6 linked regions of the Xenopus tropicalis genome follow. The protein of the gene in region 2 interacts with the protein of the main gene of each other region in a pairwise test. Links are inferred from orthologs where the notes say so. Each region holds a gene or a part of one and is shown on either strand. Other genes may lie near its edges. The genes, in order: plp1, creb3l1, pgap2, gpr25, fxyd6 and slc35b4.

Evidence for each region.
Region 1: the proteins of creb3l1 (region 2) and plp1 interact in binary tests that used the Homo sapiens proteins (3 or more experiments, as listed by UniProt). The two-hybrid records come from large-scale screens. The link is inferred for Xenopus tropicalis from reciprocal best matches to the Homo sapiens genes CREB3L1 and PLP1.
Region 3: the proteins of creb3l1 (region 2) and pgap2 interact in binary tests that used the Homo sapiens proteins (3 or more experiments, as listed by UniProt). The two-hybrid records come from large-scale screens. The link is inferred for Xenopus tropicalis from reciprocal best matches to the Homo sapiens genes CREB3L1 and PGAP2.
Region 4: the proteins of creb3l1 (region 2) and gpr25 interact in binary tests that used the Homo sapiens proteins (3 or more experiments, as listed by UniProt). The two-hybrid records come from large-scale screens. The link is inferred for Xenopus tropicalis from reciprocal best matches to the Homo sapiens genes CREB3L1 and GPR25.
Region 5: the proteins of creb3l1 (region 2) and fxyd6 interact in binary tests that used the Homo sapiens proteins (3 or more experiments, as listed by UniProt). The two-hybrid records come from large-scale screens. The link is inferred for Xenopus tropicalis from reciprocal best matches to the Homo sapiens genes CREB3L1 and FXYD6.
Region 6: the proteins of creb3l1 (region 2) and slc35b4 interact in binary tests that used the Homo sapiens proteins (3 or more experiments, as listed by UniProt). The two-hybrid records come from large-scale screens. The link is inferred for Xenopus tropicalis from reciprocal best matches to the Homo sapiens genes CREB3L1 and SLC35B4.

Annotation. Positions count from the first base shown.
Region 1 is NC_030684.2:37,579,642-37,585,125, forward strand, and holds the start of plp1 (myelin proteolipid protein), read right to left. Parts: upstream 3,356-5,484; 5' UTR 3,316-3,355; coding exon 3,312-3,315; intron 1-3,311.
Region 2 is NC_030680.2:13,416,560-13,421,585, forward strand, and holds part of creb3l1 (cyclic AMP-responsive element-binding protein 3-like protein 1), read right to left. Parts: intron 1,978-5,026; coding exon 1,764-1,977; intron 1,021-1,763; coding exon 869-1,020; intron 1-868.
Region 3 is NC_030678.2:177,474,067-177,479,681, reverse strand, and holds the start of pgap2 (post-GPI attachment to proteins factor 2), read right to left. Parts: upstream 3,644-5,615; coding exon 3,586-3,643; intron 2,814-3,585; coding exon 2,661-2,813; intron 2,042-2,660; coding exon of another isoform or gene 2,038-2,041; coding exon 1,786-2,037; intron 1,320-1,785; coding exon 1,213-1,319; intron 1-1,212.
Region 4 is NC_030678.2:172,542,985-172,547,379, reverse strand, and holds gpr25 (probable G-protein coupled receptor 25), read left to right. Parts: upstream 1-2,152; coding exon 2,153-3,232; downstream 3,233-4,395. UniProt on the Homo sapiens protein: Orphan receptor.
Region 5 is NC_030683.2:81,650,765-81,656,267, reverse strand, and holds the start of fxyd6 (FXYD domain-containing ion transport regulator 6 precursor), read right to left. Parts: upstream 3,242-5,503; 5' UTR 3,235-3,241; coding exon 3,186-3,234; intron 1,699-3,185; coding exon 1,657-1,698; intron 1,301-1,656; coding exon 1,226-1,300; intron 1-1,225. UniProt on the Homo sapiens protein: Associates with and regulates the activity of the sodium/potassium-transporting ATPase (NKA) which catalyzes the hydrolysis of ATP coupled with the exchange of Na(+) and K(+) ions across the plasma membrane.
Region 6 is NC_030679.2:86,406,859-86,412,359, forward strand, and holds the start of slc35b4 (UDP-xylose and UDP-N-acetylglucosamine transporter), read right to left. Parts: upstream 3,723-5,501; 5' UTR 3,552-3,722; coding exon 3,475-3,551; intron 1,683-3,474; coding exon 1,569-1,682; intron 725-1,568; coding exon 622-724; intron 83-621; coding exon 33-82; intron 1-32. UniProt on the Homo sapiens protein: Antiporter that transports nucleotide sugars across the endoplasmic reticulum (ER) membrane in exchange for another nucleotide sugar.

The sequences.
Region 1 (5,484 bases), on a different chromosome or scaffold from region 2:
GGAATATAGTTTGCTTGTGGATATTGGCATGTTCTATGGTGTTTGCTAAAGGGATCTGACCTGCAGCCTCTGTATGCCTGGTACTGCTCAGTGGGTTTGAATACATTTAGCTGCATTGTATAGTATACAAAGTGTGCTTTTAAAAGAGAGAATTTATGCCTTTATCTCTGTATCTATCTGCAAGTGGATCCGTACAACACATACATTGTTGCTAACAATACACCCACATACAGTCACACATACACAACAATGACGCTCTGTCACACAAACTGGGGATAACGTGTCTGACATGCCCTGACACTGCTTCTCTTCCCACCCCCAAACAATGAAAGAAACACATTTAGTCTAGTGAGTGTTTACTATACACTTAGAATAGACTGGCTCTATTATGTAATATCAGTAGGTATGTAAACACTGCGCCAGCGTCAGGGTAAAATGACTCTTCTTTGTGGCCTTCAGTTTAGTTGCAAATGTTTAACATAACATGTAACACTGTATTCACCAGCAGAGCATCTGTCTATATAAATATTGCCTATACTGCTACATTCTAAGTGGCTAAACGTTCCTTGTTTAATGGTATGTACAAGAATGGGGATGAGGATAGGAGACAAATACATCCTCCTTGTTATGTGAGTGCACTGGGAAGGACAATGGAATCTGACAGGGAGAGGTCTCAGCAGAACTATCTATATCTCTTATTACATATTACAGAATATAAAAGTTGCCCATGTAAGCTACCATTGCAAGTGCAAGAAGCAAAGTGGCACTCAAAATGTAAGTGCTATCAAAAGGTACTTGTGTCAGTTCAAGCTCCTCTATACTTGCACCTTATGCTGAAACACTGGTTATGCCTGCTTTGTTGCATAAGGTGCAAATACAGAGTTCATGGGACCCAGTAACTAAGAGCCCTGGGATGGAGTTATTACTAGTTCTGTTGCACCCACACATGACTCACACACCACCTCCCTCTCGGGCACTCTCGGTCATTGATGTTTCAGAAATTACACAATTTGCATACACAATATGTACAGTATTTAACATTGTGGATACTAATTTATATCTGCATTGATAAATCTGGCCAAATTAATGTAGGATATCTGCAATTACACTGGAATGTATGGATTTAAAAAAGACAGATTCTATGCACATTTTGCATTTGCTTTATAATAAGCCTTTCAATTTCTCAGGGGGCCCTAGATTCAAAAACATTGTTAGTTCCTTCGGCCTCTATATAAGATGTTTTTCTGTGTACTCAAGGTTCTAAATTAAGATTGTAAACTCTGTAGAATTGGGCATAGCAGTGCCTAGAAAAACAAAACTGATTAGATCTCTATCAATTTAGTATCACTATTAAGATTAGAAGTTTTCCGTACTGGGACATGCAGCGTTCTATATTTACTTTAGATTCCTATGCCCCATTTTATAAATGGCCTTTTTATTTTGTGCAAATGATACATTCCTCTTAGAATGAGATGACACCCAAAAGTCTAAACATTGCTGTTTCAGGCAAGTCCTAGCAGAGTAACAGATTGATTAATTTGCCTGTTTTATCTGGAGAAAAGGCAAAGGAGGGGACATGATTACTCTGTACAAATACATTAGAGGGGATTATCCCATAATAAAAAACAAATTACCAGAAGTCACCTTTAGACATGAGCAACTGAGCTTTCACCTAAAGCAGCACCACAGTGAGGGCAGTGCGGTTGTGGAATGCCGAGGGATGTGGTAATGGCAGATTCTGTTAATGCCTATAAGAGGGGCCTGGATGAGTTCTTGGACAAGCATAGTATCCAAGACTATTGTGATGTCAAGATCTACAGTGAGTTTAGTATAGGTATGTATATATATTTTTTATATATGTGAGTATATTGATTGGTTGCACTGTGGATCATTTGGAAGGGTTGAACTTCATGTACTTATGTTTTTTTAAACCCAAATTATTATGTGTAACTATGCATGGAGTGTGATCTCTCACAGTGACTTGCACTATGACTTGCGCAAACTAGATGACAGAGAGAGTACACCTACAAATGATGGGAAAAGAAAAGCCTTGATAACACTGGGTCATATTCAACTAATCTCCTAATTAAATTCCATTTTCCCCAACCACTTCGATTCATGTGGTAAACCATGGAATCCGGCCCATTATTTGCTATAAGTTCCTGTACTGACATTCTGTTGTCTGTCACAAAATCTCTTTCAAAGAATAATGTAGAGGGGACTGTATATACCAAATATAGTATTCCAAAGCACGGGAAAAATTTACCAGGTTAGTAACCCCCAAAATGGAGAAATGGGAGTGTACATGAAAATTACACTTAGTAAATACATTTTTTGGCAACAGGGCATTACATGGAATTCCAGTCAGTGCATCCCTTTACTGTTAACAAAGAGCATGCACCATATTGCACATTGCGCAATTATTCTCTAAAATCATTAATGCTTGTATTTAGCTGATAAGCTCACTAGAGTGCACCATAAGCCTTTTTAACAGTGACAGGAAGCAAATTGGGCATTGCAGGGTAACCTGGTGGTACAGTAGCCAGTATTCCTGCCTTGCAGTGCTGAAGTTTTAGGTTTGTACAGAAACATACTGTACATGTACTGCAGTGATCCCCAACCAGTGGCTCGAGAGTAACATGTTGCTTTCCAACCGCGTGGATGTTGCTCCCAGGGGCCTCAAAGCAGGTGCTTATTTTTGAATTTCTGGTTAGGAGGCAAGTTTTGGCTGCATAAAAACTCAGTGTAATGCCAAACAGAGCTTTCTGTAGGATGTAAGTCCTCGTAGGGGCTATTAAATAGGCAATTACAGCTTTTATTAGCACCCTCAGAAAACTTTTTCATGCTTGTGTTGCTCGCCAACACTTTTTCCATTTGAATGTGGCTCGTGGGTATAAAAGGTTGGGGATCCCTGATGTACTGGAACAGATCAACAGAAGGCCAGCCGGAAAAAGCTCAGAAGCTTAGAAGAGACCGGAATTGGATACAAGAGACAAAAGTCCAATAGATTTTTGTAATGATAAAATAACTTTGCAAGGACACTTAACACATTGCAAAAAAAATATACTAAATATTTTACCAATAAAATTTGTTTTTATACAGTCTTCATATATCCTTAGCCTTACACTTCCCAACCATACATTTGCCATAGTTTCTCCTTAGTCTAAGCCCTTTTCTCTTTTCTAATACATACATAATAAATCATCACATGGTTGCTTCCCTCATATTATTTTGTGTATATTAATCAAGAATCCTGGCTGAGATGATTTATTCAACAGACTCAGGAATGTAAAGTAGAAATCATTACTCACCCATAGTTGTAGAAATAGACTTGTTGGAAGAGGACCTGTTTGTGTGGCTAGCCCTGATTCCTCTCTCTCACTGACTGTGCTTGCAGCCAGTGTCCCTGAGTGTCATTAGCCTCTATCAACTGCTGTGCCAAACCCCTTAACCCCTCTATTCCCAGATCTATAGATATGCCACACAAACCGTTTAAGATCAGTGTGTGGAACCCTTCAATCCCCTATGAGGGTAGGGGTTAAAATGAACCAAGGGTGGGCGCTTGCTTCTTGCTGCCAACTCTACACCCCGCTCTCCTGACTTGTGGGTGAATAAAGACCCATTGTGAGGGAAAGAGATGCAGTGTTAGGGTATAGTAGTGAATGCACACATCTACATGTTATTTTATATTATATTATTATATTATAAATATATATATATATTCTACACATGATCTTTCTTGTACAGGTATGGGACCTGTTATCCAGAATGCTCGGGACCTGGGGTTTTCCAGTTAAGGGATCTTTCCATAATGTGGATCTCCGTAACTTAAATCTGCTAAACATCATTTAAATATTGAATAAACCCAAAAGGCTTGTTTTGATTCCAATAAGGATTAATTATATCTTAGTTGGGATCAAATACAAGGTACTGTTTTATTATTACAGAGAAAAAGGAAATAATATATAAAAATCAGAATTATTTGCTTATAATGGAGTCTATGGGCGATGGCCTTTCTGTAATTCGGAACTTTCTGGATAATGGGTTTCCGGATAAGGGATCCCATACCTGTACTTCAAAAATGAACAGAGCAATTAAAATAACTTTGGTATGGTATGGAGTGGTATGGAGATCCTTCTGGACCTGAGGCCTTTAGGTGATAAGTGTTTATTTAGTGCGGGATATTTGTATTTATTTTTAGATAAAGTTTACTCATATATGCTAATTAGTATTAAAGTATAACATAATAACAGGAAATAAAGCCATGAATGTCCTGTAAATTTTAAATTTATAAATGGTGTTTAGCGATGTCATCAGCTATAACGGGTGCTTAGTGATGTCATTTGGGGCACATGACTCACAAACTTGTGTATTATAAAAAAAAATAATGTACTCCCTCTTTAAAATATGAGAATATTAGAATATTGGAGTTCCATGACCTGTATTAATGAGGTGTAGGCCTTCTGAGTGACATAATATCCTTATAGATCCTAATAGACAAGAACCGTGGATATCCTGTAAATTATATCCTTATAAACAGTGCTTAGTGATGTTAGCAGTTATAATTATGTAATATCTGTCATATGACTCACTGAAACGTAGGAATTAGTACATGAGAAGTACCCCCTGTTGAAAAATATATGAGGATTTTATAAGTCACCTTGGAGCTCCATGACCTATGTTATATGGTCATGGACCTTATATTTTATCACAGGGTATACTTTATTTACTATATATTTCACAATAGGGGGTATATTATTCCCTACAAAACACACAAGAGCCATGAATAATATAAAATATTGCCTCATAAATAGTGTATCGTGATATCATCAACTATAATTTGTGCTTAGGGATGTGACATAATATTATAAAATGTAATAAAAAAAATAATGTATACGTAATGTACATCACCTGAGTGACTTTTAGTATCCTCATATTGTTACATATGAAATACCCGTTTTCCCAAACAGTGTTAATCTTATCCCTGTTTTGGATTGTGAATTCTGCAAAATGCCAACACAACACACAACTATTTATGTGTTTAGATAAAAAAAAATTACAGGTAGCGGATCCCTTATCCGGAAACCCATTATCCAGAAAGTTCCGAATTACGGAAAGGTCATCTCCCGTAGACTCCATTTTAATCAAATAATTCACATTTTTAAAAATGATTCCCTTTTTCTCTGTAATAATAAAACAGTACCTTGTACTTGATCCCAACTAGGATATAATTAATCCTTATTGGAGGCAAAACAATCCTATTGGGTTTAATTACTGTTTAAATAATGTGCTTAGCAGACTTTAGGTAGGAGATCTAAATTACGGAAAGACCCCCTTATCCGGAAAACCCCAGGTCCTGAGCATTCTGGATGATGGGTCCCATACCTGTACTAATAGGGTTATTTGTTCTGCCTCTAAGGGGCTGATTTACTAAGACACGAATTCCGACCGAATTGGAAAAATTCAGATTGGAAAACGAACATT
Region 2 (5,026 bases):
GCCAGAACCGTGGATTGGTCGAATCTGAATCCTGACGGAAAAGGCCAAACCCTGGATTCAGGGCATCCCTAGTTTCAGAATTATTTGACTTTTTGCAGTTTTAAATGGGGGTCACTGACCCCGGCAGTGAAAGAATTATCACTCTGTGAGGCTACAGTTTTATTGTTATTGTTACTTTTTGAAACTTTCTTTTCTATTCAGGCCCTCTCCTATTCCTATAGCTGTCTCTTATCCAAACCACTCCCTGGTTGCTAAGGTAACTTGGATCCTAGCAACCAAATAGCTGCTGAAACTCCTGATTTGAAAATAATATACAGTAACTAAAAAATAATAAAAAATGAAGACCAATTGCAAATTGTCTCAGAATATTACTCTCCACATCATACTAAGGGGCACATTTACTAATCCACGAATGTCCGAAAAGCGTCCGAATGCGTTTTTTTCATAATGATCGGTATTTTGCGTCTTTTTCGAGCACTCAATACGAAAAAGTTGCGACAATTCGCGAAACTCGTAATGGCTATGAAAAAGTCGCGACAATTCACGAAAGTCATAATGGCTATGAAAAAGTCGCGACAATTCACGAAATTTGTAACGGGCATGAAAAAGTCGCGACAATTCACGCAAGTTGTAACGGCTACGAAAAAGTCGCAAAAAATACGAAAAAGTCGCAAAATGTTCGTTTTCAAATCCGAATGTTTCCCATTCGGATTCGTGGATTAGTAAATCAGCCCCTAAGAGTTAACTCAAAGATGAACAATCCCTTTAAAGGGCCAAAGGCAACCGTTCCTTAGAGAAGCACTGAGAGAATCCTGCTCGGAGCACTTGCGTCCCTGGCAACGGTCGGACCAAGCGAGCAGTCACTCACCTCCTCGTCTTGGGGGCCCATGGATCCCTGGGCATGTTCTAGTGCGGTGCTGCAGTGCGCGGCGTTGGTTTGTGCCGTTAGACTGTGTTCCTGTTTGACCAGTAGGGAGCAGATCTCGTGCTCCAAGGCCCAGACTCCGTTGCTAGGGGGCTCTGAGGGAGAGAAAAAAATTAGCCACCTCTAATACACCCCAAAAGCCCACTCTGTAGTAAACAGTACATATACCCCCCCCAACTTACACACAGCTTATTCCAACATTGCTTTTTGGGGTACTTTTGCAATTTCCATAACCATTGCTACAATTATGAATGTATAACAGGAGTGCCCCCTGCTGTTTTGTCCTGGTATTGGTAAAAGCTTAATTTAGTTTTAGTATGAAGTAGATATAGAGAGTTACTGGGGTCCAATTTATCCTAGCAACCAGAAACTGGTTATACTGTGAGACTGGAGGATAAATAGGAGAGGCCTGAATAGGAAGATAATAAATGAATATGAAGTAATAAAATGTCACAATAACAATTAAATTGTAGCCTCGCAGAGCAATAGCTTTATGGCTGTGACCCCCATTTAAAAACTGGAAAGATGCAGAAGAGGAAGGCAAATAGATATAAAAGTAAAGACTAATAGTCCATTAAGCTAAAGCCTTCAAAATAATACCCAATGCATACACACAGAAACATTGATACACTATGTATACTGGAGCCCAAGATGAAATACTTGTCCAAGAAGTCGTCCAAGCCACTGTTAAAAGGATTAATGTATTCTGCCATTACTACATCAATGTCAGTGTGGCCTGAGCAATAGAACTGAGCAGACAAGACTCTGAAGACGCTTCCTGCATCAGTCACTGAATAGATACGATGACTCCCAGGACTGCAATGTCATATTCACTAACCGGTCGGACTTTCTTCATCCTCCTCCTTGATGGTGAGGGCAGGGCTCTGAGGGGCTGAGTCTCCACTCAATGAGTAGCTGTGTTCGGCTTGGATAGGTGGCGATGGGCTCTCCACATCCATGTCGAGTAAGGAGTCTCGGTCCAGTAAGGGCGGGTCATCGAAAAAACTGTTAAATAGCTCATTGGAGAAGTCATCAAGAGCTTCTGAGAAGTGCTAGGGGGGAAATGGGGAGAAGTGAGAATAAACATACAGAGACTTAAATATAGAACATTATGGCAGATATGTACCCAAGCGGCTACTTATTCACCCATCTAATTCAGCTGCAGGCCAGTCCTGTTATTCTTGTATGGCCTTAATCAGGGCCAGCATCTCTCATGTATTATAAGGGATAATGTACCCCCTACTGTAAATGATAAGGATATTAGCAGTCACTGAGGGGTTCTGTGCCCATATAAAGGCACAAGGCTGCAGGCTGAGTTATACAGGGAACTCTGAGTATCACTCATGTATTATAAGGGATAATGTACCCCCTACTGTAAATGATAAGGATATTAGCAGTCACTGAGGGGTTCTGTGCCCATATAAAGGCACAAGGCTGCAGGCTGAGTTATACAGGGAACTCTGAGTATCACTCATGTATTATAAGGGATAATGTACCCCCTACTGTAAATGATAAGGATATTAGCAGTCACTGAGGGGTTCTGTGCCCATATAAAGGCACAAGGCTACAGGCTGAGTTATACAGGGAACTCTGAGTATCACTCATGTATTATAAGGGATAATGTACCCCCTACTGTAAATGATAAGGATATTAGCAGTCACTGAGGGGTTCTGTGCCCCCCATATAAAGGCACAAGGCTGCAGGCTGAGTTATACAGGGAACTCTGAGTATCACTCATGTATTATAAGGGATAATGTACCCCCTAATGTAAATGATAAGGATATTAGCAGTCACTAAAAGGTTCAAGCAGAGGGCATGGCACAAACATGGCTTCCATTATGATTTCCAAAATGCAAGTTCTAATTCCATTCATGCTGCTGCTGTAAATCCTTGGGCACTGCACACACACACATATATATATATCTGTATTATGAGCAGACAGACATTCCCCCCCCCTAACTGGTGTCTACTAGAAACATCTCATGTGAATACATTATGCAGGCCAGGAATGTGTACAAAACAATCTCATTTTATTACTATATTGCAGTTTGGTATAATAACCGCTTGGCCGCTAATATCCTGCTCCCCAGCAGTGAATTAACCCCTGCCGTGCCAGTGAGTTCGCCCACGCCGCGCTTTTCTGTACATTAAATAAACCCATCTCTGCGGAAGGGACAGCAGTTAATAGTTCCCATGTCCAGAATCTGAATGAGCTCTGAGGCATTTTATGGCACCATCTGTTCCCATAATAAAAACACCTCCTGTAGCAGTCGGCAAGGGGTTAATTCTGAGTGCTAGTAAAGCCAGCATGAGATCAGGAAGCTGGATTGGCTGGTTACTGACGGCTCTGAGCCAATGGGAGAGGAGCATGCAAAAAAAGTGAAAGTTAGTGGAGCCTTATGTCTGGCCACAGAGCCCGGGAGTGCAGGGTTAGAATGGAGCAGTCGCTGTTAGTGAGTCGGAAAAGCAGCGCAGGGTGTTTGCATTCAGAGTGCAACATGTACCGTATGTACCGCAAATCATAGCATGCAAATACAACAACAATAACAACAACAACAATAACAACAACTCCTCCCACACCCACAATTGCCCTAATCTTCTAGTGCAGCTAAATTATAAATACTAGGAGAGATGGGAATAATATTGGATAGAAGGCACTGGGAAAATATATCATTTTATACCATATTAAATATATTAGTATTAGATTGTAAGCTCTGCTGGTGCAGGAACTGCTGTATCATCTCTGTAATGTGGGCAGAACAGGCCAGTGCTATAGAAATAAAGGTTAATAATACTAAAAGGGCATGGGGAAAGTCATCAGTAAGCATCAGTAGTAGTTAGGCTATTCACACTATAAATCTATGCCAGTATAAAATTCCCCTATGTATAAGCACAATTCAGCAGGAACAGCCCCCTAAGTTTGCTCATAGCCTGTACAGAGAGATACCATAAAACTATGGCACATAGGGATTCCCCTTGTACTAAGCACAATTCAGCAGGAACAGCCCCCTAAGTTTGCTCATAGCCTGTACAGAGAGATACCATAAAACTATGGCACATAGGGATTCCCCTGTACTAAGCACAATTCAGCAGGAACAGCCCCCCCTACGTTTGCTCATAGCCTGTACAAAGAGATACCATAAAACTATGGCACATAGGGATTCCCCTGTACTAAGCACAATTCAGCAGGAACAGCCCCCTAAGTTTGCCCATAGCCTGTACAGAGAGATACCATAAAACTATGGCACATAGGGATTCCCCTGTACTAAGCACAATTCAGCAGGAACAGCCCCCTAAGTTTGCCCATAGCCTGTACAGAGAGATACCATAAAACTATGGCACATAGGGATTCCCCTGTACTAAGCACAATTCAGCAGGAACAGCCCCCTAAGTTTGCCCATAGCCTGTACAGAGAGATACCATAAAACTATGGCACATAGGGATTCCCCTGTACTAAGCACAATTCAGCAGGAACAGCCCCCTAAGTTTGCTCATAGCCTGTACAGAGAGATACCATAAAACTATGGCACATAGGGATTCCCCTGTACTAAGCACAATTCAGCAGGAACAGCCCCCTAAGTTTGCCCATAGCCTGTACAGAGAGATACCATAAAACTATGTAACATAGGGATTCCCCTGTACTAAGCACAATTCAGCATGAACAGCCCCCTAAGTTTGCTCATAGCCTGTACAGAGAGATACCATAAAACTATGGCACATAGGGATTCCCCTGTACTAAGCACAATTCAGCAGGAACAGCCCCCTAAGTTTGCCCATAGCCTGTACAGAGAGATACCATAAAACTATGGCAGCATAGGGTTTCCCCTGTACTAAGCACAATTCAGCAGGAACAGCCCCCTAAGTTTGCCCATAGCCTGTACAGAGAGATACCATAAAACTATGGCAGCATAGGGATTCCCCTGTACTAAGCACAATTCAGCAGGAACAGCCCCCTAAGTTGACTCATAGAAATCATACAAAAATGCATGCAATATGCCAAATCATGTGTGCTCCCACAGCCAAATGTCAGTTGTACATGACATAAGCCACTTTGCACTAATTCTGCTAGTAAATAAGACCCACTGTATTTGGGGTTGGGGG
Region 3 (5,615 bases), on a different chromosome or scaffold from region 2:
GCATTAGGGATAGTATTGGGGTGCCACAGACAGACGGGGGCATTAGGGTTAGTATTGGGGTGCCACAGACAGACGGGGGCATTAGGGTTAGTATTGGGGTGCCACAGACAGACGGGGGCATTAGGGTTAGTATTGGGGTGACACAGACAGACGGGGGCATTAGGGTTAGTATTGGGGTGCCACAGACAGACGGGGGCATTAGGGTAGTATTGGGGTGACACAGACAGAGAGGGGCATTAGGGGTAGTATTGGGGTGACACAGACAGAGAGGGGCATTAGGGGTAGTATTGGGGTGCCACAGACAGAGAGGGGCATTAGGGTTAGTATTGGGGCTGCCACAGACGGGGCATTAGGGTTAGTATTGGGGTGCCACAGACAGACGGGGCATTAGGGTTAGTATTGGGGTGCCACAGACAGACGGGGGCATTAGGGTTAGTATTGGGGTGCCACAGACAGACGGGGGCATTAGGGATAGTATTGGGGTGCCACAGACAGACGGCGGCATTAGGGTTAGTATTGGGGTGCCACAGACAGACGGGGGCATTAGGGTTAGTATTGGGGTGCCACAGACAGACGGGGGCATTAGGGTTAGTATTGGGGTGCCACAGACAGACGGGGGCATTAGGGTTAGTATTGGGGTGCCACAGACAGACGGGGGCATTAGGGTTAGTATTGGGGTGACACAGACAGAGAGGGGCATTAGGGGTAGTATTGAGGTGACACAGACAGAGAGGGGCATTAGGGGTAGTATTGGGGTGACACAGACAGAGAGGGGCATTAGGGGTAGTATTGGGGTGACACAAGACAGAGAGGGGCATTAGGGGTAGTATTGGGGTGCCCACAGACAGACGGGGGCATTAGGGTTAGTATTGGGGTGACACAGACAGAGAGGGGCATTAGGGGTAGTATTGGGGTGACACAGACAGAGAGGGGCATTAGGGGTAGTATTGGGGTGACACAGACAGAGAGGGGCATTAGGGGTAGTATTGGGGTGACACAGACAGAGAGGGGCATTAGGGGTAGTATTGGGGTGCCACAGTACAAGGGGAAGCATTTCTAGCCAAACTATTGGTTGAGCTTTAGTTCTCAATTACAATGACATTTTAGTGCAGACTGAGCTTGCCCACATCTGGGCCCATTTACCCACAATTCCCCACACTCCCGGGGCCACACTGACGACCCCATAGAAAGACATAAAGCGGGGGCACTTACCTCCAGGCTCCCCGAGCCCTTACGCGCCACGCGCCACAGCGAGCAGGTCACGAACATGTAGCCCACCGAGAACAACATGAAGGCCATGAAACCCAACTTATGGACCTCTGGGGAGACAGAGAAGTTCTACGTAGAACCCAACAAGCATGGTTATCTATCTATTAGACCCAACCCCCACCCACATTTACTTGCAGAACATGAATCCTGGGGGGGGCACATCCTACGTCCCTTCATGGAAACCGCTATGGCAGCACCGCCTATTGTCTAAGCAAGAGACCAACACAATGCCTACAGAAGGGTTAACTCTTTATAAGAAAGAGCAGGAGGGCCCCCATGATTGGCTGAAAGCAAACCCTTCTACTTATAGAAATGCCCCCCCCCCCCCCCATTCCTGCATACGTGTCTAGTCGGTCAGGCCATATGGCTGAAACTGGCCAAACTGCCCAACCACCTCCGGGCAGAGGAGACAAAAGTATTTGCCCCTGGTTTGTAGGTGGGGCGGGGCTAATACTGGGGGTATCTCTAACACATCTGCCCCCCCCGCCACACGATGTTGGTCTCTCCCGGCCCTACCATAATTCTCCGAGGATGAGACGTAAGTCAGCAGGATGAGGAAGAAGATTTCGCAGCAATTCAGCAGGAAGTTGAGGTGACAGAGCCGGGGGTAGGCGGGGCTGGAGCAGGGGGTGCCCTGATAGTAGTGCAGGTATGCCACGCCCACGAGGAAGCGAGGGGCAGAGTGAAGTCCAATGCACAGTCGCCATATGTATCTCTGGGGGGTCTCTCCTCCAATAGCGGCACTGACTGACGGCAGGTAGTTAGGACCTGAGGGAGAGAGGGGGGGGGGAGAGAGTGAGGGGAGGAGAGAGAGGGGGAGAGAGAGAGAGGGGGAGAGAGAGTGAGGGGAGGAGAGAGAGGGGGAGAGAGAGTGAGGGGAGGAGAGAGGGGGGAGAGAGAGTGAGGGGAGGAGAGAGTGAGGGAGGAGAAGGGGGGGGAGAGAGAGGGGGGGAGAGAGTGAGGGGAGGAGAGAGTGAGGGGAGGAGAGAGGGGGAGAGAGAGTGAGGGGAGGAGAGAGTGAGGGAGGAGAGAGAGGGGGGAGAGAGTGAGGGAGGAGAGAGTGAGGGGAGGAGAGAGAGGGGGGGAGAGAGAGAGGGGAGGAGAGAGAGGGGGGGAGAGAGAGAGGGGAGGAGAGAGTGAGGGAGGAGAGAGAGGGGGGAGAGAGAGGGGGGAGAGAGAGAGGGGAGAGAGCCGAGGATCTGGGTAAATGGGTAGGTATATATCTGTATGTACACTGGGGGGGGGGTAGGTGTAGTATATATCCCACCACCCTGGGGGCGCGCCCCAATCATACATGTGCACCAGTATCACTACTCTCAGCGGGATTATCGGGCTATAACTCTTCGGGTTACGCGGGGGCACCGTGGCCGGGGGGTCTCACTCACATCGACCAGTGGCATGCAGTTCGTCTCGGCTGAAGTTGAAGAGGAGGGACCAGACGATGCAGAAGAGGAAGGCAAACAATGGCAGGGAGACCGTGCCCACCGCAAACGTAGTGAATGAATGAGACAGAGCGAGTTGGCCCAGCTCAGGGCCACGGAAGGCTGTATGGGGGGAATAACATGAGTGGACAGGGATCTGTATAGTCCACTGCTGTATGGGGGGGAAATAAATGAGTGGGACAGGGATTCGTATACGCTCCCACTGCCTGCTATGTGCGGGGTAAATCAACATGAGTGGGACAGGGCTATTTCCTTGTATTAGTCACCTGCACTTTTGTATGGGGGGAAATAACATGAGTGGACAGGTCGAATTCCTGCCTATCACTGTCACTTGCCTCTACTGCGGGGAAAATAACTCATGAGCTGGGACCAGGGAATTGTACTACCTCACTCTGCTAGATACGGTCTTAAATGCAGTTGGGCACAGGGAATCCCTTGTCATACCTTGTCATGCCTCCGTATGCTGCTGGGAAATACATGAGTGGGACAGCGGATCTTTGTATATCTCACCCGCCTCTGTATCGGTGGCGGGGTGATATCCTTATAGTGGCGACACGGGACATCTTCTGTATAGTCACTGCTGTATGGGGGAAATAACATGAGTGGGACAGGGAATCTGTATAGTCACTGCCTGTATGGGGGGAAATAACATGAGTGGGACAGGGAATCTGTTATATAAACTACAGTCACGTGCTGTATGGGGGGAATATCATGAGTCCGGGAGTCGAGTTCTGTAATTTATATGCGTCACACTGCCTGTCAAGGTAGGGGGAATAAAATCATGAGTGGGACAGGGAAATCTGTACTGATGTATGTTCGGTGATAGTGGAAATAATTGTTAGTGGGGGGATCACTTGTATAGTGGGTGCTGTACTGGGGCGGAATATTACATGAGTGGGGACATGTCGGTCTCGATCTGTGGGTATAGTCATGGTGGCCTGTATGGGGGGCAATAACATGAGTGGGACAGGGATCTGTATGTCACTGCGAGTGCTAATGTGGGGGGGGAAGGTCAACTCATGAGTGGGACAGGGAATTGCTGCTGACAAACACTAGAGTGGGCACTGGCCTGCTAGGGGGGGAGTGCATGAGTGGACAGGGGAGCTATAGTTCAACTCTATGGTATATGGGGGGGAAGGTATCGTGAGTTGAGGGACTTAGCGGGCCCGCCTGTATGGGCTAGAGAAATGCAAAACATTGTAGTGGCGCTTAAATGCGGAACTCTCGGGGTAAGAATAGTCAGGGCTTGGTTGCGGTGTAATGGGGTTGTGGAAAATACTCAAAATGGGAGTGGGATTCAGGGGTTGCGCGACAGGGGGCATGATTGGGCAGACTAGGGGGGGAGCGATAGAAACAGCCAAGAACAGGGGGAGGAGCAAGACACGAAAGGGGCGGTGCAGGAGGCAGACAGGGGGGAGCAGCAAGACAGGGGGGGGAGCAGACAGGGGAGGGATGAGAAGGGGACAGACAGGGGGGGAGCAAGCAGGGGGGGAGACGGGGGCGCAGACAGGGGGTGCAACGGGGGGAGCCAGGGGGGGGGCAGACGACTGAGCACCAGACAGGGGGATCCGCTCTGGGACCTGTATAGTCAGTGCCTGTATGGGGCCACAGTCAGGAATCCCTTGGGGTAAGGGCTCTGGCACACAGGGAGATTAGTCGCCCGAAACAAATCTCCCTTATCACAGGTGACTAATCTCCCCGAACTGCCATCCCACTGGCAAAAATGTAAGTCACCAGTGGGATGGCACACGCTGCGCAGGCAACTTTGTTGCCTCGCGTGTGCCAGAGCCCTAAGGGGGGGGTGTAAGTGTAGATCCCCCACTGAGTATATATAGAAATGTCACTGGGGGCAGAGACCCCTTACTCCACTGCCCCTACACACAATACATCAGGGCACAGGAGTGTGTTAGTTACTGACGGCGAGTGTGTTAGTTACTGACGGCGAGTGTGTTAGTTACTGACGGCGAGTGTGTTAGGGCGAGTGTGTTAGTTACTGACGGCGAGTGTGTTAGGGCGAGTGTGTTAGTTACTGACGGCGAGTGTGTTAGTTACTGACGGCGAGTGTGTTAGTTACTGACGGCGAGTGTGTTAGTTACTGACGGCGAGTGTGTTAGGGCGAGTGTGTTAGTTACTGACGGCGAGTGTTAGGGCGAGTGTTAGTTACTGACGGCGAGTGTATTAGTTACTCACGGCGAGTGTGTTAGTTACTGACGGCGAGTGTCTTAGTTACTGACGGCGAGTGTCTTAGTTACTGACGGCGAGTGTGTTAGTTACTGACGGCGAGTGTATTAGTTACTGACGGCGAGTGTATTAGTTACTGACGGCGAGTGTGTTAGTTACTGACGGCGAGTGTATAGTTACTGACGGCGAGTGTCGTTAGTTACTGACGGCGAGTGTGTTAGTTACTGACGGCGAGTGTTATAGTTACTGACGGCGAGTGTGTTAGTTACTGACGGCGAGTGTATTAGTTACTGACGGCGAGTGTATTAGTTACTGACGGCGAGTGTATTAGTTACTGACGGCGAGTGTGTTAGTTACTGACGGCGAGTGTATAGTTACTGACGGCGAGTGTGTTAGTTACTGACGGCGAGTGTGTTAGTTACTGACGGCGAGTGTATAGTTACTGACGGCGAGTGTATTAGTTACTGACGGCGAGTGTATTAGTTACTGACAGTGAGTGGGTTAGTTACTGACAGTGAGTGGGTTAGTTACTGACGGCGAGTGGGTTAGTTACTGACAGTGAGTGGGTTAGTTACTGACAGTGAGTGGGTTAGTTACTGACAGTGAGTGGGTTAGTTACTGACAGTGAGTGGGTTAGTTACTGACAGTGAGTGGGTTAGTTACTGACGGCGAGTGTATTAGTTACTGACAGTGAGTGGGTTAGTTACTGACAGTGAGTGGGTT
Region 4 (4,395 bases), on a different chromosome or scaffold from region 2:
TAAATGATTCCCTTTTCTCTGTAATAATAAAACAGTACCTGTACTTGATCCCAACTAAGATATAATTACCCCTTATTGGGGCAGAACAGCCCTATTGGGTTTATTTCATGGTTAAATGATTCCCTTTTCTCTGTAATAATAAAACAGTACCTGTACTTGATCCCAACTAAGATATAATTACCCCTTATTGGGGCAGAACAGCCCTATTGGGTTTATTTCATGGGTAAATGATTCCCTTTTCTCTGTAATAATAAAACAGTACCTGTACTTGATCCCAACTAAGATATAATTACCCCTTATTGGGGGCAGAACAGCCCTATTGGGTTTATTTCATGGTTAAATGATTCCCTTTTCTCTGTAATAATAAAACAGTACCTGTACTTGATCCCAACTAAGATATAATTACCCCTTATTGGGGGCAGAACAGCCCTATTGGGTTTATTTCATGGGTAAATGATTCCCTTTTCTCTGTAATAAATGTAAAGAAGGTGCAGAGCTATTTAATTCTTCATTAAAGTTAAATTGAGGGGTTCGGCTGTAGCCCCAGTGCTTTTCAATTAATTAATAATGACATAATCCTATAAAGTTAGGTGTCAGTATTTGAAGACACAGCAGACAGTTGCAGGACATTTATACACAAGAGAACAAGGTGGGGGGGTACTATGTGGGAGAAAAGGCAAATAAGGATAAAATTATCATAGAAAAGGCAAACCATAGGGGCTTTGTTTGGGATAACAAGAAAAAAAAATGCTAAGGTTTGGGATCTGATATCCAGAAACCGGAAATGATTTTTCAGTAGACTTTTTGTATACAGATCCAAATTATAGAAAGATCCCTTATCCAGAAATCCCCAGGTCCCCAGGACCTTGCTGAATTCTGTCTCTGTAGCAAGTATTAATAAATAAAAGTCAACAGACAGTAATGCAAATAATAATAATAATAAGTAGAGTAGGGACGGGGGCCCAGAGCTGATTGGGCAGGAACGGAACATAATGACTCTGCTTAATTATTAAGTAATTGGTTTTCCTGCAGTGACTAAATTCTACACTAATGGGAGACCGGATATATAAAAGGACAGAGAAATGCAGGAAATTCAGAGAGGGGATATCAAATGGCTCATGAAAATTATTTTTTTATTATTATTATCATTAATAAGATCAGAAATTGTTTTCCGAAGTAAAGCAGTTATTTAATCATTAACCATTAACTTAACTTTTAGTAGGTTATAGCAATGCCTATTCTAAACAACTTTTCAATTGGTCTTCATTATTTTTTTCTTATAGTTTTTAAATTGTTTGCCTTTTTCTTCTAACTCTTTGCAGCTTTTAGATGGGGGTCACTGACCCCGGCAGCCTATTGCTCTGTGAGGCTCCAGTTTTATTGTTACTTTTATAACTTGTTTTTCTATTCAGTCTCTCTCCTAATTAAAACTGCTCCCTGGTCGCTAAGGTAATTTGGACTCTAGCAACTAGATAGCTGCTAAAAACTCAGAACGAGAAGTAAAATAACTAAAAAACTACAAATCAGCCGTCAGTCAGGCAGAGACAAAGCTGTATGTTAAGGTATGAAAAATATAATATAAATATAAATATATATTCAGGTATATGTTACTAACACAGGAGTATATATTGGGGGCTATGTTACTAACACAGGAGTATATATTGGGGGCTATGTTACTAACACAGGAGTATATATTGGGGGCTATGTTACTAACACAGGAGTATATATTGGGGGCTATGTTACTAACACAGGAGTATATATTGGGGGCTATGTTACTAACACAGGAGTATATATTGGGGGCTATGTTACTAACTATATATGGGAGAGGATACCTAACTAAGGTATATGGCCTAACACAGAGTGGGGCTAACTAACACAGGAGTATATATTAGGGGCTATGTTACTAACACAGGAGTATACAGTATATTGGGGGCTATGTTACTAACACAGGAAGCCCTGGGAGAGAAGCTACAAGTGCCAAATGGAAGGATAACAAATAGAAAGCAGAAATAGTCCCACCCCTGCGCTTGTATTGGTGGGTTCTGAGACTAATGAACCCTTCTGTATAACCACAATAAACATATGAAGGGCTTATATAACCCCCTACCCACGCTGCCCACACATCCTTTGGCACTGCCGCCCCTGACCAACCATGAGTGTTGCTACAGCCATGGAGGCCGTTACTTATAATTACGATGAATACAGTGATTATGATAACGACACGGAACCCGACTGCCAGGATGAGAATTTGCCCCATGGGCACTGGATTCTGCCCACCCTCTATCTGATCTTTTTTTTCTTTGGCCTGACTGGGAACGCCATAGTGATCGCCATTGTGTCCAGGCGGAGTTCACGTCGGGCAGATATTTTCATTCTCCACCTCGCCATCTCTGACTTGCTTTTTGTATTGACTCTGCCATTTTGGGCTTCTTCGTTGGCGCTGGGGGGGCAGTGGAGCTTTGGGGTACACATGTGCCGCGCCAGTGGGTTTATTATCGCGGTTACCCGCTGTGCCAGCTCCTTGCTAATGGCCATCATGAGTGTTGACCGTTACCTTGCGGTGATTGGGGGGCATAGGATTCACCCTTTCCGCACTAGGACCTGCTCCCTGGGGGCTTGCTGCGCCATTTGGCTGCTCTCCCTGGTAACTGGGATCCCCCCTCTGGTTTTCCGGAACCTGGTGGAGAACGTGTGCGTGGAATCCTCAGAATCGAGACTCAGCGTGGGCATCAAGTTGGCCACTTTGTTCTTGACCTTCGTCCTTCCACTTACCGTGGTGGCGTTTTGCTACAGCTGCATGGCTAAGCACCTCTGGAATTATTTTGGGGGCCCTCAGAATGTTGCTGGGGGCAAAGCGAAGCCTCGGCGTAGGCACAGCTGGCTACGTATAGTCTCGTGTGTTGTGGCAGCGTATTCATTGTCTTGGTTGCCCTATAATACCCTCAGCACTGTAAGACTGGTGGCCGAGCTTGGAGAAGGCTTTCCCTGCCACACCACGGTCGCCATTAACCAAGCGCTCAGTGCCACAGCCGCCATTGCCTTTGCCAACAGCTGCACCAACCCCCTCATCTACTCCATCCTCGATGCCGGCTTTCGGCACAGGACAAAGCAGACCTTGCCCAGCATTTTCCCCATATGCCAAGCAGTTTTCCATCTCCCCTTCCGTGGTGGGAGCCAACAGTCTACAGTTGCCAGCACCGAGAGTAGCAGCTCCTACACACGCAGCTACTGAACCCTTCCAAGCCCTTTATAAATGGCAGAAAAGGCTCAAAAGCCAACAGCGATCCAACATCATGATGGACTAGAATGTCCCCAAGGTGCTTATTCTCTCAATAGACAACACTGGGACTGAGTATGTAAAATGAAGGCAAATAATATCATTTCTTTATGTGTATAAAATGATTATTTCATCAGTTTATTTTCCCTACAGTCACACGTCATATATATATATGCGTTTTTTAATACACAATTGATTGTTTTTGGAATATAACTCGGTGTTGCTGGTCTTTTTTGGATATATATATACACTCATAGAGCAGACTATCCAATATAATGACTTCTATGCCTTGAACGTGTTATACTCTGTACAGAATATAAAATGTCCTGAAGCATTAAAATGTTTTAAAGCTACAACCTACCTTTAGCTTATTCTTTGGTTGCAAACAACAGAGGGAAGACCAAGGAAGCCCACGATTCTGGCTATAACCGGCAAGCAGGTTGGGTGTGTTGGTTGGTTGAGATTCGGAGGTCATTGGTCAAGATCACTCTCAGACTGGTGCCAAAGGGTGCTGGGTGCAGTCCTTGCAAGATTTCCAATCTGTGGTAATGCAGCGGTTGATAAACTGCAACTCCCAGCTTCATTTAGAGTGATGTTGAGGCAGCAGAGGGTATCAGCCGGCACACAGCAACCTATTGAGCAAATCCTGGTATAGTCTTGGGAACAATATCCATGTTGGTTGGGTGCAGATGTGCATAGAAGGTCCCAACGCCATTCTTTGGGGAGTCCGTCTGTCCAGCTGATCTTGCACCTCTCCGTTGGTTGAGTAATTCTACTAGTAGTAGTAACATTGGTTACAAAGCAACTCATCCTCATCGACATACCCAGGTAGCCATTGAGAAAATAAGAAAGGTTGAGATACAATGGCACAAACCATGCTTGAGTGAAGGGGGCTGCGAATGGGGCTCTAGGAAAAGTTAGGGGTACAAGTAGATGTACCAAGGGCAGAGTGAGAAGGGATAGAGCTATGCTGAGATGTCACAGCAGGGGGCAGCGTTGAGTTAAGTATTAGCTAAGGAGAAGCGCAAAGAAGGCAACTTTCTTCAGCCTGTACACGGATGAATGAAATCTCTTGTTCTATTAATGCTATACAATACAACATAATATAGGCAGAAGAG
Region 5 (5,503 bases), on a different chromosome or scaffold from region 2:
TCTGCCTGCCCGTCCCTGCCTGTGTGTGCCATACCCTCCCTGCCCTATACTGCCTGTGTGTGCCATACTTTGCCTACCCTATGCTCCCTGTGTGTGCCATACACACAGGCAGCATAGTCCAGGCAGTACCTTCATAGGTATCTACAGTACCTGTGTCTGGGGTAGGGAATCAGGGATTGCATTCCAAATGTAAGGAGCAGCAAAGCAGAAAGGTTTAAGGTGGGAAACAGCAGCAATAGTAGTGGGGGTTGCAACCAAGCGGTTGCTTTGAGAGGAGTGGAGGAGTTGGCCAGGAACTTATTGAGACACAAGAGAAGAGATGTAGTGAGATGCAGATGAATGAAGGACTTTGATGGTTAAGGAGAAGGAGTTTGTAAATTATTCTTGTAAATTATTCTTACGGAAAGATGTTTTTATATTGAAGATGTGAGTAAGAGCGGAAGTAAGCTTAGCAGCGCAGTGTTTAAGAAGAGAAGAAGGCATAAGGTCAAGAGAGCAAGTTGTGAGCAGAGAGGTTGCTGAGGGATGTAGAAGGGCATTGAATATAGAAAACAGGCCTTGTGCATTGGATTTGTTATTGTTTATAAGGATATTGTAGCACTTATTTTTGTGATTCCACTTAATTACAGTATATGCCTCTTTATTTTCTTTATCACTCCCCCATCCTAGCAAAGCACAGGATTCAATGGAGGAAATGGTCAATGCAAGCAGCTGGACAGGATGCTTTTTAAAGGAGAAGTAAAGGTAAAACTAAGTAAGCTTTATTAGAAAGGTCTATCTAAATACCGCCATAACCCCTCTCAGAAGAGTCCTCTATCCAAAGAACCACAGGATTTCTTGTCTTATTTTATGTAATCATGTTCTTCAGTATCAGAATTCCTCTCCTTTAGGGTTCCTTCAGGTTTGGGGCATGAATCTGCATCATAAGAATTCTCTCCCCCTCCCACAAGAATGTGTGAGCTGTGCTACCAAGTGCTAGAGCTGCAGTAGGAAGCTAAGGAGACCAAGCTAACATGGCAGCTGCTATCTTAAACAAACAGAGAAAGCTTCTAGGGCTGTTTACTCAGACATGGTAAAGCTTTCTGCAGAATAAATATAGCGTGGCACTAATGTGGCTAATCTATTGGCAGTAAAATGCCAAAATGCCTTTCCTTCTCCATTACATACATTCTTTATTTGGTATTTACCAGAAGCTATTATAGATTTATCCATGCAACATACTTACTGAGAATCAAGAGGATCCCCAGCATGAAGAGGACAACTGCGAAAACAAGCCCTCCAATGCGCAAACTTTCATAATCTGTGCATAAGACAATACATTGTTAAATTTGTTGATTGTTTTGGATACAACAGAACCACTGGAATGGTAATAACATTACTAAATAAACAGCAACAAAAAGCAATAACTCGCCAGCCTGTGATTCATTTTGGGCATATGGTTTGGCATAAATGAATCACAAAAAGTCAATAATAAATGACTTGTGATATCCAAATGGATCTAGCCAACAAGGCTTTTACTGGAAATGTGTGTTCCAGCATAGATGACATTTGTTTCCAAAATTAGGAGTCACAGGGTACAGAGTTCTTAGTTTTGGTTAAGATAGTATACCAAATATAAAACCTTAAAGTTAGTGTTAAGTGTATTCACTTTATTACCATAGTGAAATGGGTCTTGATCCTTAACTTCCTCACTGGCACCTGGGGAAAAATACAATGCAATAGAGTTTTACAAATGAATTTCTGGTTTGGATAATCAACCTATCGTAAACTATGAATTTGTAGTTCCGCAAGCAATCTTATCTCCTAGTAGTAGTCTTCTGTATGCACGGAAACATTCTGGCAGTTCACCATCTACAGCAAGATATCATTCATGGCCGCTGTAGCTGTGTTGTTTTATGTTTTGCTGATCAAAAAAGGTAATAGATATTGAGCTAAAATCTGTCTCTCCTTTGCCTAAATCTAGATTTCCCTGGGGAGAAGGGATGGAAAAAAGCCGACCAAAGAGTTAGTCTCCCAGTTATATCTGAACTGATCACAGCCAAAGTTATCGCCAAGTGCACACAACAAATTGTTATAGATGTTTGGTGGAAACATAAAAGTTTTCCCGCGACAAGTCTCCCTTGTTGCGCGCGACTAATCTCCCCAATATGACATCCCACCGGCGAAAAATGCCCGTGAAAATCTCCCTTGTTGCGGGCAACTAATCTCCCCAATATGACATCCCACCGGCGAAAAATGCCCGCGACAAATCTCCCTTGTTGCGGGCGACTAATCTCCCCAATATGACATACCACCGGCGAAAAATGCCCGCAACAAGGGAGATTTATCGCGGGCTACTAATCTCCCTCGTGTGCCAGAGCCCTTAGTTCTCTTGCTCTTTTTCCCCCAGCCACTGTAAATGAGCCCTAGAAAATTTCACAGGAGTAACCCTGGGATTGATGTTGACTTATCTTGACCACTTTAGATGAAATAAAGCAATGAACTCAAGTGGTTTACTAAGACTATATAAGAGGTTAATTAATATATTGTTTTGTGATACAACCAACTCACTTGGCTCTTGGCTCTTCTATACCCCAAAAGTTTACTTCCTGCTTTCAGCTCTCTAACCATAGCAAGTCAATGACTTTTGGGGGGGGGGGGGAGCACATGGGACATAACTGTTCAGTTAGTTTGTGAGCATGCAGGTCAGATTCAAATGCAAACTAACTGAACAGGTATGGCCCATATGCCCCACCTCCTCAGTCACTGATTGGTTACTGACTGCTAACAGCTTAGAGAGCTGTAAAGGAGGAAGCAGAGTTCTGGCTATTATGTTAGATATCTGCCCGCGTCAGCTGTTATAGATTACATTTTTGCCCAACTATATTGAAAATATTTTTCATTATATTACTATATATATACTATTTACTGTATATATAAACTATTTTCATAGTTTCATTTTTACACTGAACTGCTCCTCTAACAGCAACTGTGGGTCATATACTGACCTACCAACCATTGTCATGGGGGAAGTGGCTGCGTGCATAAAAAATAAGAGATTGCTCCAATTATTATTTAACTGCTTACAGTCCTAAATAGCAAATGTGATAATAGGTTAGCAACAGATAAGTATTTGTAATTAACTAAAACAGATTTGGGCTTCCCTTGAGTAACATGGACTCAGTTGGCTCAGGCTGCCTACTTACCTAGTACTGGAACCAGAGCAGAACAAAGGAAAATCAGTGCTGCCTCCATGAGCCCTGTGGAAATAAATATTGTTAACTGAATTCCTCAATACTACTGATACCTCATTAACCAGAAGTCAGTGAGAATAATCTTAATAACCCAAACTTATTTGACAGGTCATATTCTTTTCACAAAGAGATCAACAGGAAGTTGTTTTCAAAGCATAGGGCATTAGGGGTTGAGTGTGGCCTGCATGGCATTACATTATAACACTGCTGTGTGGCACTCCAGGGGGTCTGTGTGGCTCCAGGTCGGCCCAGAGACTGTTTATTTTGACTGTGTAAAATGTTTGATAGCTTACACTGAGTATAAAAACACACCAGCAGCCTGTTTCTTAGCTCTTCAGTAGGAACCAAAGTTAATAACTTGACCCACTTGGTATGAAAATCATCTTTGAAAGTCAGATATAATCCTTAAACAGATGCACAGTGTATTGTAAAGTGTTGTGCAAGAGACTATAATAGATGAAAGGGACACAGGATGGCTGTGATTGAATGGCAGCAGCACAGGGTGGCTATGTACTGACAAACATACCTTATGGCTAAGGCATGAAAGGCAGAGGCCCTGGGAGGTTGGGATTACTAACAGCTTTCACCAAAGAGATTTCTGCAGGCAGCTGCCTTGATATAAATCTGAAGAAGCTGAAGAGCAGGTTTTCTGCTTTGGCCAGGAAAACTAAATTGTTTTGGTTTATGCAACAAATTTATATAAAATGATTTTGCTAAATGGTGTAGTGAATTACATATACATGCATATAAATACACTTGATCTTGCACTGATTACACAGGCAGGCAAAGGTTAGAGTATAATTGTACGGACACAGTTCAAATAGCTTCGCGTTTTCCACTGTAGGAATAGGGCAACAGCAGTAAAAAACGTACATTTTATAATTCTGGTTCACTGAAAAAATACTGACAAAGCTCTGACACGATCTCAACTGAGAGTTCTTACGCCTAAATGCTCTGGCCGCCTCTCTCTCACCGCAGTACCCTGCTCATTCACGCTATTTCCGGCAGGGGGCGCTGTAGCGCCTGAGTCAGGACATTACTCGATTCTGGGTGCAGAGGGTGAGAGAGATGGAACGGTGCATAAAGGCCAAGAAAGATGGGGTGCATGAATTCTTGCAAGGTTGGATCTGTCAGGTGAGTGAGAGCTCGTTTATTTGATTCATAGACTATTTGCTTAAACGCCATTTCAGGGCTGTTTCATTTAGGCTTTTATCTATGCCCTTCTTCCTACCGGGTCACCTGCTCTCCATATATCGCTCAGCGCCCCTTTAATTCGTTTCTATTACTGCAGTTCCAGTTGCTTCTCTTTTCCACTGATTTTTTCATTATATTTAGTGTTCTATTTTCTGTTCATAATTTTACCCTCTGTCTCTCCTTCATCCTGACCAGCATATGCACTGCCACTGTGTCCCACTGTTTCAGTGACTTCCATGTTATTCAGATCATGCAGCTCACCTTTATACCCACATTACTTTTATTGCAACACTTGCGCCTAATAATTCAGTACTGAAAATTACAAATGCAATATCATGCTGCAGACATTTTTTAATGAGTAAAACTTTAACATACACATGTGCCTGGCAGCATGGACTTTTGTAGAAATGCAGCTCTACTGTAAATGAAGGATTTTATCTGAATATTAATAATATACATTTATATATTATTTTTACATATGCTAGGAAATATAGCATTTGTACTGATAAGTTAAAGTGCAGTATCCGTTTTACTAGGTAAATTTGTAATATGCTTGTTCTAATTTGTTTGCAGGTGGTCAGTTGCAGCAGTGATGATAGTAATTCATAGTATAGGTACATGATCTGTTATTCAGAATGCTTGGGACCTGGGTGTTTCCAGATAAGGGTTCTTTCTGTAATTTGGATATATTTATCTAAAGTCTGCTAAAAATTATTTAAACATTAAATTAACCCAATAGGATTCTATGCGAGATGGCCTTTCCGTAATTCAAAGGTTTGTGGATAATGGGTTTTCAGATAATTGACATCAGTCTTGCAAGAGCCAATACATCTCTGTACACTTAGGGCTCTGGCACACGGGGAAGATTAGTCGCCCGCGACAAAACTCCCTGTTCGCGGGCGACTAATCTCCCCGAGTTGCCTACCCCTGCCATCCCGCCGGCGAACATGTAAGTCGCCGGCGGGATGGCAGACGCGGAGGCGCGATTTCGCTCAAATCGCCGAAAAAGACTCGCGAGTCTTTTTCGCCGATTTACTGAAATCGCCCCGCCGCGTCTGCCATCCCGCCGGCGGGAT
Region 6 (5,501 bases), on a different chromosome or scaffold from region 2:
TATGTGAAAGGAAGACTTGTATTGCACAATACCTCTTTTTTAGGATAATGATTCCTAGTACCATGTTGGCTATCAAGGATCCCTAAAATAAAACATTACAGAAAATTTAAAAATAAACTCTACCATACAGTCACACAGTAAGATTCATAAGTCGCATAACCAGTAAACCAGCATAACAGCATTATGAAGCATGTCACACCCATGAGACAGCTTGTTTAAAAGAAAAGTTAGACCTGTTATCACCCCTCATTTTTCCCCATTCTCACATTTTCTCAGCGGCAGTGTAACAGTTTGATATATTAATTGTTACATTTCTCAAGAGCATCAGACATAAAAATGCCAGAAACCAATGTTTTTAAAGGGGCACTAAATAGCTATATACAGCTTTACAATACAAGTATAATAAATAGAACTTTTGTGAAAAATCTAATTGATAATTTTTTTTTACGAAATTTTCGCACTCAGCGTGACAATAAGATATTATCACGCTTTTTTTTTATGAAAAAGTCACACAAATGTACGAAAAAGTCGCAGAACATACACAAAGTCGTACTTTGATGAATGTGCCCCATAGTGTGCATTCAATCTAATAAAAATATTTGGTTTCTTTTGCTTACTTACCGATCTAAATATCATGTGCAGTGGCATGGAAATATTGAGGTTAAGTGCATAATTATTCACCACGCTGACAGTGAAGAACATAGCTACCATGATTAGGTAATACCTGTAACAACAGCACAGAAAGTTAACTTATGGAGGCAGGGGGAAAAGTCAGCCAATATCCTCTCCTGCACTAAGCCATTATGGGGACATTTATTATAAATGAAAGGCATTGTGGGAAATTGTGTCTTGGCTGGCGAGGAGGTTAATATTGTAGCATTGTTTCAATAGCACATGTAGTCATAACCAGAGGTGCAGAAAATAGCAAAGCACAAACAGCACTGCATTAAAAGGCAACCACATTTACAAATAACTCATTAATTAAAAATATGTAGTGAATGTATACAGGAAAGTTGGAAAGTTAGAATGGATTAATTCATTTCATTAGGAGTCATTTTATATTTGGGTTTTCAACCCCTTAAAATTCACATAAAAATGCACTAATGTGACATAATGCGGAAAGTATTTTAAACTTTTCAGTGTGGCTTCTGCAAAAATAATGTAACCTTTCTGTAGGCAAAATGTAAGGTGTAAAATGAAGTGCATAAATAAACAAGCCATGAAAGTACATCGATTGCTGGCTGATAACAAGGATTCACACATCTCGAGGAATATCTGGAGCGTTTAACCACTTCAACGGCCTGTCCGGATAGCACAGTACTGGTTTGTCCCATCGTAATAAAATGGTCTTGCTATATACAAAGCATGTATTAATATGGATATTTTAAAAGGGCTATTCATCTGAATTTTTTGGATTTTTTTTACAGATGAAATGAGTGTAAGTTTTCTGGGTATCTAAAGGTGGATCAATAAGTGGATGATTCTTAAAGACCTTCTTGTGATGCTTGCTGAATACCCACATGCAATATAATTCTGAACTGAGCAAAAATGATAAGAGAAAATTTTACCTTACTGGAATGGCTGACTTCTTTCTTCCAAAATTAGCTTGGAATATAAAGCCTTCTACTGCTATGAACAGAAACTGTGAAAATGTAACAATGTTTCCACAGCCAGGAAATGCCCTATTCAAGCAAACAGAAAAATATATCATGTTAAGTGGTGACACCATATGGAGGAAAGATTTACTATAACATACACAGCGCTCACACAACACCCACCATTCTCATTTTAGTATATTATACAGGTATTGCCCTCTTATCTGGCAGTCTTATCAGCATTCAGATTTTTGTGGATTTAGAGGTTTTTGCAACCACAAATAAACTCATTTTCTTGAACATCATGAATATCTAGTCATTTATTCATCTAAAGAATTACATAAGGCTTAGTTCAGTCTGTGATTTTTATCTGGTTGCAGATTTGTTATGTGATCATATTTATTATTGTTCCTATATGATATTGCTTATATTTATATTCAGGCCTTTTCCTAATTATATTCCAGTCTTACTTCTAACCTAGTGCCCAGTTGTTATTACTATAATTCAATCATCCTAAGTTTAAATTCCAAACTTAACAGCAACAGAAAAAACATGAAAAGAATAAGGAAAACAAATAGGAATACCAGTTTTAAACTGTCGTAGTGCATGAATGTCTACACCACACCAAAATGTAATCTCATGGTGAACTAGCCCATTAACAAATGCTGTTTCAATGCAATTTGTGTAAATTTCTTGCATAGGGACATTCATTGCATGAATTGCTACATATGCCCTTATTCTTATTAATGTATCTTAGAAGAACATTTACTTTATCTATATACTTTTTTAAACCTGCCGAATGTCCTACAATGAGACCAAAATGTTGGTTATTTTGATATGTTAATTGAATAAATTATTTCTAATTCTGTACACAAAGGGCAAAAGCTTTTACATTAGTTGACAAAGAAAGTAGCCTAAGCGTTTAGTATGTTTGTGCATGTCATGGAAACCATAAAGTAACACAAACAAGGTCAAACCAACAAAACTCTGTCAACACAAAAAGCTGTTCCATAATTACAAGGCCATATTAGGTAATGGCAAGGTTCAGATGCATACTTGGAGGGGAGGGGGGGCTGCTCACATAGATCCATCATTCAGATCAAAGGGGCTTGTGTAGAAATCATTTGTTTTAATTTCTTTTTCAAAATTTACCTTCATTGACTCAAAGGTGCATGGGCATCCATTTCAACAACCTCTAGTCAGCTGGCAAGCCTCCAGATGTTGTTGAAGCAGAACTCCATGGCCCATTAGTCATAGTTCAACAAGTGGAAGTGTAATTGGTTCACTAAGCTTATTGTAACAACAGTGAACTGAAATGGCTGCTGCCAGGGAGGAATACAGAGCCAGGCAGAGATAGCGGTCAGACTGATACACAATATTGCAGGTGGGATAAAAAGGTAATGAAACAGGGCCCACACTGGCTACACCACTGATGACTCATTAGATTAAAACACAAATTGGTTCTATCTACAGATAAAGGACTTTGACACATGGATCTGACAACCCTGGGTTATTCTCATGGGAGTTGCCTCTAGAGGAACACTGATATTGGGAGATCATCATGGCCTGCACATCTCACATATCCAGTTCTCTTATAGATAGGTTCCCCGGGTATCCAACTAACAGCTATCGCTATCAAATCTCTTAAACACACATTGAAAAGTTATGTTCTGCTGCTGTTAGATACCTGTCAAACTTATCTCTGCCTAGTCCCTCCCCGGCAAAGGCAGCTAATAAAGTGAATCAAGCGGTGCCTCTTAATAACACACCCCCTTATATATAAACGTGCCTCCTGCCTGCTATCATCTGAATACCTTTACTCGTACACTTCGCTGGCTGTAGTCAAAATGAATGAACCAAAGGCTAACTTCGTTCTCACCTGGCTAACAGCTCTAAAAACACCACATTACTGCAGCAGCCCGAAAACACCAGGCCCACGGCTAAAGCTGGGTGCATGGTCACAAGTGACTTAAACGCCTCTACTAAACAGCAACTAACGCCGGTTTTCAGCTGAAGCACGAAGGCGGTACATTCCTGAGACTGACACGTCCTCCTCCTACCGCGCACAGACTCACGGGAAATGTAGTTTATTAGTCTTGCAGTTTGTCTAGCCTACTGCGGCCATTGGAGAGGCTGCATCCAACCTCCAAAACTACAATACCCATCAAGCACGATTTATACGGAAGTGCGTACAAATATCACTGGCTGCAATGTTAAAAATTTAACCATTTCAGCGGATGCGGTACTGGTGCTGACTGAGGGGAAAAACATAGGTTAGGACGTCTCCACGTATACAAGTTTAGAAGTGAGTCAAAGGACTCGAACAAGAACAACGAATGTTTTCCGCGCGTTCTCTATAATGCGGATTTTTTTTGCTGCGCAATTAGTAGAAAGGCAACGTTTGGTCGCACGGTTTTGTCTTTTTCGACCCCACGTGAAATTTTAGTCTTCGCGATTATATAATTAATAACTTTACAATAAAGAGCATCTTCATAAGATTGTGAAGATAAAAAACCGTGGCCCTCATAGTGTTCATGTAACCACGTTAACGCTATGCTGGGCTAAGACGCGTAATTGTAAAACTTTGTATTAGATGTAGCTAACTAGTGTGATGTAGAGAGTAATTTGCAATTGGTCTTCATTTTTCATTATAAGTTATTTTACTAAAATGAAGTAAGCATATGGATTCCAGAGGTCCTTGTTTGATGTCCAGTATGTTTAGGATTGCCAAAATCTGTGGCATGTAGAGGAACCAAAAGGAGAAGTTTATACAAATTCTGGTGGTCATTGCAACTATTGCAAAATCACACTTTTCATTGTATGTAAGAAAAAAGCTCTGTAACACAGAGAGTGATATATTTTTGCAAAGTACATATTCTCCTGCATCCAAAATGGGTAAATATGTCAAACTAACATGCCACAAAGCTTTCCAAATGTACGGCTTTTGATGAAATATCTGTAAATTGCCTCAAATTTAAGGGGCACATTTACTTACTCACGAACGGGCCGAATGCGTCCGATTGCGTTTTTTTCGTAATGAACGGTATTTGCCGATTTTTCGGAAAATTGTCGCGACTTTTTCGTTGCCATTTCGAATGTTGCGCAAAATCTGGCGATTTTTTCATAGCGTTACTACTTGCGTGAAAAGTCGCGACTTTTTCGTAGCCTTCGCGCCGAGTACGAAAGATTCGGATTCATTCAAGCTTCAGTATGGTGACTTTTCTTGGGCCAGGTTGGAGCTGCAGGGTGCCATTGAGTCCTATGGGAGGCTTCCAAGTCTGAAAGTTTCGCCCACCGCTTACGAGTGCTCAATACGAAAAAGTCGCAACAAGATACGAGCGCATTGTAATGGCTACGAAAAACTCGCGTTTTCTTGCGCAAATCGTATTGGTAACGAAAAAGATGCGACAATTTCCGAAAAGTCGTAAAGGCGCCGAAAAAATCGCAAAAAATACGAAAAAGTCGCAAAATGTTCGTTTTCCAATCGGAATTTTTCCAATTCGGATTCGGATTCGTGGGTTAGTAAATGTGCCCCTTAGAGTATCTTGTCTCACATGGCATTATGTTTTAAGATCATCATAAATGTAAGTGCCACAGGTCTGCTAAACAGTTTGATGCCCAATATGCATAGTATAAGCAAAATGTCAGGCATGCATTGCCTCCAGAGTTAAAGGAGACATATCATATAAAAATTAAGAATGTACCAGTGAATTTTACTCCTCTAAATATAGATGGATTGTGCTTAAAAAAATATTTATTGAGACATTCCCCCAAACCCCTACTAGTCCCGCCAGCTGAATTCTCTGGAGTTTAGGAACCAATCAGCAACTAGTCTGACCTGACAGGGAACTGAAGCCTGGCTTTGCTTGTGGGAGTGCAGGGTTGTGATTGGCTCTCCCCCTCCTG